Regions from separate parts of the Mus musculus genome. Here regions 2 and 3 are each reported to be linked to region 1. Evidence: microRNA targets listed by miRTarBase, many of them from high-throughput screens and not tested one by one. Region 1 holds a microRNA gene; each other region holds the end of a gene's coding sequence.
What was found. Region 1 holds the annotated microRNA mmu-miR-134-5p (UGUGACUGGUUGACCAGAGGGG, at 1,734-1,755, shown strand). A microRNA usually pairs through its seed, bases 2 to 8, with sites in the 3' UTR of a target mRNA and lowers its output. Matches are read on the target gene's strand: a 7mer-m8 pairs with bases 2 to 8, a 7mer-A1 pairs with bases 2 to 7 and ends in A, and an 8mer does both.

Region 1 (3,257 bases):
ATTTTTGATTTTATTTAAGTTAAATTTTTTTTCAAAAGTTAAATTCTTATTAATATCCCAACTTCATGCTCCACAAATTGGTCAAGAACAGTGACAAGAGAATCCATGCGGGCTGTTGTGCAGGTTTTAGAGAGCTGATAAAGATATCACGAGGATGAGCAATCTTCCCAACTGGAAGAGTGGAGACTGGGGGTGCTCTTAAAGTAGGGCTAGCCGGTGTACCCAGGGACTGGATGAGCCAACATCAGATGTGAACATGTAGGAAGAGGAGGGGCCAAAGTAGTACAACCGTAATGTTGGTGGAACCACAATCCCTGAATGATTCGGTGGGCTGCAGGGAGCATCCTTGCTGCTATCATGGCTATCTCAGCTAAGGCAATGACCCTGGATGCTCTGAAAGGCTGCTAAGATGGAAGAAAGGGTAACAGAAAATGAGGAAGTCATAGGACCAATGTTGGGGATCTTGATGATACATCAACAAATGAATGTTACACTGGGAAACAAAATAGAGGTGGGGTACTACCGCCTGCTAGCCAGAACTGTAGGAAATAAGATGAATACTTTCCATGTCCTCAGGAGAGAGCCAGGTTTCCATCACGGTGAAAGGTGGGGCCATGGAAAAGAAGTGAAGCCCCAAGGGACTTTGCTAGTGAAATATGTTTTATGAAACCATGGAGGCAGGTGGGACACGGAAGGGTGAGAGATGGGTTCTTACTAGGGCTTTGGGAAGCTATCCTAAGGAAGCTTCCTAGTGGCGAGCCACTAGAATCTGGAAATGCTAACTGGTCCTTCTCGTGCAAGGTTGCTTGTAGGAGTTGGTTACGCCATTTGTGATGGTCTTCTTCTTCTTCTTGAAACTGATTTCTTAGAGATGAGACAGTGGGAGTGGAGGATCACCTGGGATCATGTAGAGCTCAATGAACCTTCTCTTGATTCATATGAGGATGCTAGTAGCCTTGGTTGGGCTTTTCTGCAGTGGGACTTTTATAGTCCCCTCAGGACCTTGATGTGACTAACCATATGTGCACCATTGAGAAATGCAAGTCCCCATTCACATACCCCAGGGTCTATATACCTGCAGAGGACTTCTGACCTACAGCAAGTGGGCTCCCTTCTCATCTTGAAAACCTTCCAGTGTGAACTCTAGAACCAAGGAAGACAGAGAAAGGGGACAATGTCAGCATCGTTGCAAGGGAGGTGAGTGACCACCCCTGCCCCACTCCAGTGTGTTTCTAGAGCACTTGCCCCCACCTCACTAACACTCAGCATCCAATCTGCCTGCAGGTTGGTGGTTGGAAACCATAGCCCTTGGAGAAATGGAAGGGGCCCTTTGTCTGTCTTGTCTCTGCTTTTCTGTGGTACTTGAAGAGAAGTTGTTCGTGGTGGATTCGCTTTACTTGTGACGAATCATTCACGGACAACACTTTTTTCAGTACCAAATGCTACCTCTAAGGATTTCCTGGACATGATGGCAACTTGCAGAAAGATGGCGGTTCAGTCAAGCTGGTAGAGAAGCCAAGTATGGATGTTTGGCCACGGACAGTGTGCTTGAGCTAGCTGTAAGTCACCTGGTCGGGTTACCTGAGCATCTGATCCACCTGTAGGCCTCTCATCAGTGGGCCGTGCCAACCTTGGTGAGGCAGCTGTGGCTCTGCCCCCAAGTATCAGCTTACAAGACTTTGAAAAGAGGTCATCTTCCGGAAGAGATGTTGGTGCCAGCACCATTCAGGGTGTGTGACTGGTTGACCAGAGGGGCGTGCACTCTGTTCACCCTGTGGGCCACCTAGTCACCAACCCTCAGCATCAATTCCACTCAAAGAAGACTTTCCAGAGATCCTACCAAGTTTGGGGATATGTCAATGGACTTGATGGCTGTGCCTGCTCAGTGGACCAGGATGAACTGTGGTCTTAGGGGTGTATGTTTACATAAGATGCCATGAGGCATCCGTGGTAGCTGCTGCATCACTGTCACAGCCTCCTTGAAATGTTGACTTCAGATGTGGACATGATGTTGACTTCCCATGAGGGACCTGAAGTCCCTTCTCTCCTGGGTGTGTGACTGAATTGTACTTTACTAAGCATGTGCCTGTGCCTTACTTATCTGATGGATCTATCTTCCAGTTGTCTAACCTCAATATCCTGTCTCTACAGGAGAGTCTGTGAGATGATACCAACCTCTAGAAGCAGGCATGGTTGTCCCGACATCGCCACACTACCACAGGAGCTTCCAGAATACATTCTCTTCATGGAAACTGTGGAACCACGCCCCCTCTGGTCCAGGAGGACTAACCAGATTCAAGGCTATCACCATCCCCCTTCAGGTAAGTGTGCCTCGGGTGAGCATGCACTTAATGTAGGTGTATGTCACTCGGCTCGGCCCACTACCCAATGCTGTCCCACCCCTTCTTCACAGGACAGTGGAAGCAGCCACCTTTTCGAGAGAGTCGATGTGTTCTTCACCAGTGTTCTTCGCCAGTGATCATGTGTGATACTTGGAGAGAGGCTGGCCGTGATGAATTCGATTCATCTAAACGAGTCATACACGGCTCTCCTCTCTTCTAGTGTCAAACTCTGCCTCAGAGGTCTTCTCAAGCCACTACTGTTCCCAAGGTGGGTTTCTGGATGGCTAAACCCATGTCAAGTGCCTTTATCCAATTGTATATTTCACACAGTTATCCCAGTGTCCAAGCTAACCCACACACGACTTCCTAGGACATTTCTGATTTTTTGGAAAGACCAGAGACACTGTTGGGAGATTCTGTTTAAATGTTTAAACATACTGGCTGGCTTCTGTTTTGGTTAGTACCTAATTCTACCATGGAAGAACAACTAGAAGCAGCCTTGGCTAGTTAACCTTCAGGATACAGACTAGAATGGGACCCGGAACATTGTGAGCCTGTGTTGAGTTATCTGTAGCCATTCCATACCCTGAAGTGAAGTCTCTGAAGATGAGCTCAGCTTCACCCAGCATCCCCAGGACAACCTGCCTTGCAAACTTGTGTTTGCTGTGGGTATGGCTCTGCCACCTTTGACTTAGTAAACATTGCATGACGAGTCAAAAATCACCTTCCTCTTGGCGCTTATTTGGGGCCCATAAACCAGAGGTTGGCCAGAGAGCATGGGTCTGATTGGGACTTAAGCCACTTGGTTCACTTATTCTCAGAGTCCTGTCCATTCTGTGTCTACTCCCAAGGTGTCCCCCTGTGAAGAAGATGCAGGAGTGCTGTGAGAAGTGCCATCCCCTGGTACTTGGAGGG
Region 2 (3,207 bases), not on the chromosome of region 1:
TCCTCCCAAATGCTGGGATTACAGATGTATATGCCATGACACACCTGCCTTTTTTGTTTGAGATAAGGTCTATTTAGCCCAGGGTGGTCTTAAAATGCAGTGACCCCTCCTCCCCTCGCCTCTAGTGTTGAGATCACAGGCATAAGACAGTATGCTCATCAAATTTTGATGGACAGGGAGCAGACCTCATCTTTACAGTCCATTCAGGCTTTGGGAGTCTGGGAGCCATAGACCTCCACATGCATGCCTACCATGCTGTCCTGTTCTAGCCACACCTAAAACACTCCAGCCCTCTCACTTGGCTTTGGCTGAGCAAAGCCTTGGTGACAATGAGTCCCATTGCTGGCAGATATCCCTCAGGCAAGCATCCACTTAGCACATGACTAAAGATTCTGTGGGCTTCCCGAATCTCCCAGAAAACCAGCACTGTTTTGCATCAGCTACTGGAGGCCCATGGCCTATGGTGGATGCATCACACATTCCATCACATCATGTCCCATCGTCTAATTTGAAACACAGCTCACACTGGGACCTTGTGACCAGAAGGCAGTCAGCTGAATGACTCAGAAATGATTGTGGAATTCAAAAATAGGAAACTAAAAATATGCAGGGCGGCTGGCTTCTAGGAACAGGCGGGTCTGTGGTTCCAACGCTTGGTAAAGGATGGGTAGGAGCCAAGACCCTGATGGGAGCTGAGGAGTGAAGAGCAGGCAAGGAGAGTCACCTGTGAGCTGTGCAGCTCTGACAAGCCTTTATTAGCAGCAGGAGGAATTGATGCTGAGGTGTTCAGGGCAAAACTGGGCACAAGTTGGGGAGATGCAGAGATGTGTGGGGTGCTCACCCTGATGATGACCGCGTTTTAATCCCCAACGTGGTTGAAGGGACTCTGTACAAAGGGATAAGTTTCTTTGGTGGCCCAAAAGCCCTGCAACAGTAGTAACTCAATACTGCCACTTAAAGAGGGGAATACAGCAAGTGACATTCTCTTAAATCTAGAAGGAAACCAGCTTGCTCATATCTGAGCTGAACTCTGGAGAGCCATTTTGGATTCCTGAGCTGTACAAAAAATGTGACACGCCGGGCGTGGTGACGCACGCCTTTGATCCCAGCACTGGGGAGGCAGAGGCAGGCGGATTTCTGAGTTCAAGGCCAGCCTGGTCTACAAAGTGAGTTCCAGGACAGCCAGGGCTATACAGAGAAACCCTGTCTGGAAAAACCAAAAAAAAAAAAAAAAAAAAAAGTGACATCTAAGCCCATCGACCTGTGACTTGCCACAGGACAGTTAAAAGGCATCAGCAAGAGCAGTAGGGTTGCCCAGGCTTCCTAGCGCATAGGATGATCAGAAAGGAGTTCAAGGTCACTTCAGTTACACTCAGCTTGAGGCCAACCTAGGTTACATCTGGGCTACAAGAAACCGTGTCTTAAACCCTTCAAACTGGAGAAAGGGGGAGGGGTAGAGAATGACAGAGAACACCCACCAGACACCTTATACAGGCCTATGCATAGTCTGGGGAGTCAAGAGCATTGTGGCTACAGCCAGGTGAGAAATGGGGTCAGAGAAAACAGGATGAGTCCCCAGAGTAGTCAGGAGGCCTCAATGGCCAAGAATTTGAACAAACAGCCAGATGGAGCAATGCTGAGCTGAAGAACATGGTAGGCTTGAGGCTGTGGAGGAGGGTGCAACCCAAGGAATGCAGGAGGGACCAACAATGCGGAAGGCGATTGAGGAGAGTTCAAGTGTGCTGAGGGGTCAGCTGTCTGGTGGATAGGTGGAGCAGGGAGCAGGAAATGAGGGCATAGAACCTAAGTGCCAGGAAATGACTGATCTGTGTTTGAGTACAGGCCCCAGGCTGGTCACTTGAAGTCCACATTAGGTTAGGACAGTGAGGTACAGCTCTTCACTCTGTCAGGAGAACCTGTGGCTAAGATCCTCTTCTCCAGACATGAACTTTTATTTATTTGAGATATGGTCTTTCTACTTAGTGTTCTCTATGTAGGCTAGGCTGTCCTTGAACTCATAGATCACAGAGATCCACCTGCTTCCACCTCCCTAAAAAGCTAGGATCAAAGGTATGTATTATCACACCCAGCCAAAGGTTAGAAAGCTGAGACAATGGTTTATTGGGCTCCAAGTGTGGCAGTCAGGGCCCCTGCTGGTGTGAAGGAAATCACATCACTCCATTCACAACTAGCACCCAGGGCTGTAAGCACACCTCAGTCAGCCTGATGGGAGGGATTTCTGAGGTTAGAAGGGTTCTTAATATAATAGAAATTCTTGGTGACACAAGTTATCTCCAGGTAAAGGCACTTGCTTTTGTGTGTTTGGGGAGAACATCTCATTTGTAGCTCAGGCTGCTGTAAAGTGCAGTTCTCAACTCTCAAGTGCTAGGATTTCAGAGTGAGCCACTATATGTAGGTAGGCCCAGGGCACTTGCTTACAGACCACCATGGAGGCAAGGTGCTACCCTTTAAACCACAGTCCTCACAGGGGTCTTGCACTTGTTTGAGGGTGGGGGGTCAGGAGCTGCTGTCTGATGGCCTCCAAGGATGTGAGACAGATGTCCTCTTGGCCAACTGTAAGGCAACCAAGTGATCTTAACTGAGATGGTGTCTTCCCCCAAGGAACAAGAAGAAGGCTCTCAAACTGCAGTCAGCACATGTGCCATCAGCTTCAACTTCCTTCTTGCAAGACCAGAGACCTCTTGGGGGGGTGGGGGGGAGGAGCAGTGGTGGAGAACACGACGGGGAACCTTCATGTGTTCCGAAAGCCCAGGGAGCAGAGGTTCCGTAGATACAGATATACTCCAGGAGCTGGTGGGAGGGGACCCGCCCTGGATCAGCAAGGTCTTTTTGGCACTGGGCACAAAAGGCACTTGGTGCTACATCATGGTGTGATCAAGTCCACAGTGACTCCTGAGAGGAGCTGTAGGCTTGTCAGGGTGTTTCTGAGGAAGACACAGTTGAATCCCTTAGTACTGGGGACATATTCTCACTCTTGCTCACAGATTCCTGGGCTTCTTCCACCAGGTCAGCCACCAGATTCAGCCTGCAGGTCCGCAGCGCCTTAACCAGTCCGGCCACCGAGGCGTTCTTCTTCTCAGCATTCTTCCAGACTTTCAGACTCTCCCTTACCCGCTCACTCAGACTTCGGGGGTACTTCTCCTCAATCCCATCCATCTTGGCCTCAGACACCTTCAGCTCGCGGGC
Region 3 (3,257 bases), not on the chromosome of region 1:
AAAGTGGTAAAAGTGGATTAGGAAAAACTGAGAAAGAATACGGGGGATGTAAGAGCTTAGTTCTGAAAAAAATTACTTGAATTTGAGCCAATTTAAAACTAAATTATTGGAGACTTGAGTTTTCAATTTTACCAACCCTTGCCACACGAAGTAGCAGTAAAAAAAAGTTTTCTTATATGTATGTATCTGTGCCTGTATATAAAGGAAAAGTATTTGTTAAAGGTTTACTTGTAGTTAGCACAAAGAAAAACAGAAAGGACACTGTTGTTATACAAGAATGTCTGTTCTAAGAATATTCTAAAAAAGATATGTCCATAGTATTTTCTAGTGCTATATTATACTACAAGTAGAAAAATGCTCAGAGAACTACCAAGAAGCCTGGGCATAGGGACTGTTGAAATTTCTTTGCTCCCACTCTTTCAGTAGAATCTCCATGTCTCATCTTAAATGAATACTTGGGACAACATGGGATTTGCTCAAAGAACAACATAGAGTGTGCTGGAGGATCTGGCCCAGAGGTTAAAAATAGATCTCCTACCACAATTTCTATCCATCCCAAATAACCAATTTTCCCTAATTAACTCAAATGTTCTGGGAGGCACTAAGAAATCACTGAGCTTGTAGAAAAAAAAATAGGGGCCGATTAAAATGGGTTTCTTAATCATTTCATGTGGGCATAGCAATAAAGGGGGGGGGAGCAAAACCTCATGATTTTGGGCTCTTCAATGAGCAGTGTAAGCAGAAACCAGAGCTCTCATCATCCCCCTTCTGCTGAACCAAAAGCAAAAATGTTTCTTGGAATCTCATAATTAAGGACATCTGAAATTTATCAAGGGGGCTCTAGGTACCCCTGCCATCCTACTTCCCCCTGCACATCAGCAATGCCACCAAGTTGTCATCAATTCATGTTGAGTTGTCTTGTGCAGTATTTGCTAAGTATGAAGCAGCCTAGGCGTGCTTGCGCATGCGCGCGCGAGCACACACACACACACACACACACACACACACACACACACAAATGAACCCCACACTCATTCTACTTAGAATGGAGGGACAACTGCATGTCATTCAGCAGCCAAACTTTGAATGCTGCATCTTTCAAACTATCTGAACAATTACAAAGAAGTGAAGGAAATCTTCCTATCTCGTCAAATCAAACACAGAATTGGCATGCATGGCTTTCACCTAACTTTCGTTGTCTTGGCTATTATGGGCTATGAATACAGAGAAAAAGCAATGTTATAAACCTGTACCTCAAAGACAGAGTTATTTCAAGTGATCAATCCGTAATAAAGAGAAGTCCTTCCTAATGTTAAAGTCAAGTGAAAGGTTTCTGCATCTTAAGTATGAAATATTAGGATTATAGATAAAAAAGAGTTACTTAAAATATGCCATAACATTTCATTTAAAATATAACTAGAATGTCTGGTCCACATTGAAATTATTACTGTAAGTGTAACTGTTAAAAAGGTATCAAAAACCTGATTCTATTGAATTGGCCTCTAGTCATTGTGTTTTCTCCCGGAGCTTTCTGTTTGGCAGTGAGAGCATGATTTCTAAACTACAGTATTCTTCTGCATTTTTTTGGTCAATTTTCTACTTGTGTTTTTTAGACAAAGGAAAAAAATCACCAGCTTATAAAAAAGGAGCCTGAAGAGTTTTGCTCCTGAAATACAGAGTTGAGTTTTTTATAAAAAAGGATATGGTTTCTTGCTATAAAAAGCGACCAAAAGGTGTCAGACCTGAAAACAAATTCTCACAGTGTTTGTAGTGTTGGTTGTTTACAAGGCATTCAATAGAACAGAGCTAGATGGATACCATACCGTTCATGTACTAACTTGTACATTAGAAAGCCTCCTGGAAGGATCATGTATGTGACATCATGTACCCCAAACTAATCAATTGATTGATTCCAAATTTCCCCAGTAGAGGGGTTAACCAGGAATCCACTGTGCTTTATACAAATCCTACTGAAATTTGGGCAGTTTTCCCCCTATATTCTACCTCATATCTTTCAGACAGCCCTATACCACAGCCCTAAGCACATGGTGTCACATCAAAAGTCGCTGGTGTTTCTCCATCTCAACAGCCAGGATGAATGCTAGACAATACACTGGGGGCTCAATTAAGAGCAAAGAGTGAGACCAAGGATCTGACTTGCCACTCTCCTGAGATCCTCCAGCATTCTGAAGATACAGAGGCAAGGGACACTTAGGTTTTTCGCTTTTAGATCTGCATATGAAAGTTTTCCCCACACATAAACATTTTAAGTGATGTGTATGTAAACAGCCTTCCAGAGAAGGAAGACTAGTTTCTGAACAAATTGAGTGGGGAAAATACAAAGGCCCCTAAGCATTCAGTAGAAAGGTCATGGAGTAGCACACTTTGAAGTTCTGGAAAAGTCACTCAAAAGGATGGTTATCAATCTATCTCTTATTGGTAAATGTGAATTAGTGGCCCAGAAGAGAAGTCACAAGAAAATAAACCCTACATACTACAGAGTGTTTTGAAAAGCAACAATAACAAAAATGTTTAAGCACCAATAGCCTTGTTGGTCACTTGAGCGAAAGTATTCTGCTACAATAATAGGCTTTGATTTAGCCTATCATCTTTCACATGGAATCGCCAAGTGAATCAGAGTCATCCAATGACAGCGGCAGGTACAGGTCCTGTAAGAAAAGAGACAAAGTTAACTTTCCTTTACTTGGTAAAGGAAAAGTTGAGCTTTGAAATGGTTTTAGAGGTTTGAAATAGTGGTTTTCTAATTTTATTTTTAAAATAATTAATACATTCACAAGGAGCTTTAAAAGTGTGTCAAGAGGTACCCCTGTATTATATCAATATAATCTTTACTCAGCTTCCCCTAAAAGGTAATGTCTACCAGACTGGCATGTTCTTATTTGTGTGATAGAGAGAGAGAGAGAGAGAGAGAGAGAGAGAGAGAGAGAGAGAATGGGATAAAAGTATAAAAGTTGGGGCAAATAAAATATCTAGAAATCCTATAAGGAAAAGACATAAAATTAGCTGTCCATAGAAACTTTACATCTCTCTAATATATGTTCCTGGGAATACTAGTGGCCAGCTACATATTGATGACTGAGTTTGTATACTCTGTAAAAACCTGTATCTATGGGAAGCTCTGAAACTCTCTAACATATATTCCTGGAAATCCGAGTGACTGGCTACATACTGATGACTGAGTCTATGCTCAGTTAAAACCTGAGATGCTCCTAGTCTTTCAGTCCCAGATGATTTTA

Region 2: miRTarBase lists Fadd as a target of mmu-miR-134-5p. Seed matches in the 3' UTR shown: 7mer-A1 at 1,263-1,269.
Region 3: miRTarBase lists Dcx as a target of mmu-miR-134-5p. The part of its 3' UTR that is shown has no 7-base or 8-base seed match.

What each region holds. Positions count from the first base shown.
Region 1 is chr12:109,732,412-109,735,668 of GRCm38, forward strand. Mir134 (microRNA 134) reads left to right here and starts at 1,728; the gene lies at 1,728-1,798. Mir382 (microRNA 382) reads left to right here and starts at 1,360; the gene lies at 1,360-1,435. Mir668 (microRNA 668) reads left to right here and starts at 2,321; the gene lies at 2,321-2,386. It overlaps Mir485 (microRNA 485), which reads left to right and starts at 2,491; the gene lies at 2,491-2,563. It also overlaps Mirg and Mir453.
Region 2 is chr7:144,577,595-144,580,801 of GRCm38, forward strand. Fadd (Fas (TNFRSF6)-associated via death domain) reads right to left here. Exons shown (of 2, transcript NM_010175.6): 2 at 729-3,207. The coding sequence ends at 2,935. Among named protein-coding and RNA genes, the nearest start is that of Fadd, 3.2 kb to the right of the region's middle.
Region 3 is chrX:143,860,939-143,864,195 of GRCm38, forward strand. Dcx (doublecortin) reads right to left here. Exons shown (of 7, transcript NM_001110223.1): 7 at 1-2,669. The coding sequence ends at 2,613. Among named protein-coding and RNA genes, the nearest start is that of Capn6, 35 kb to the left of the region's middle.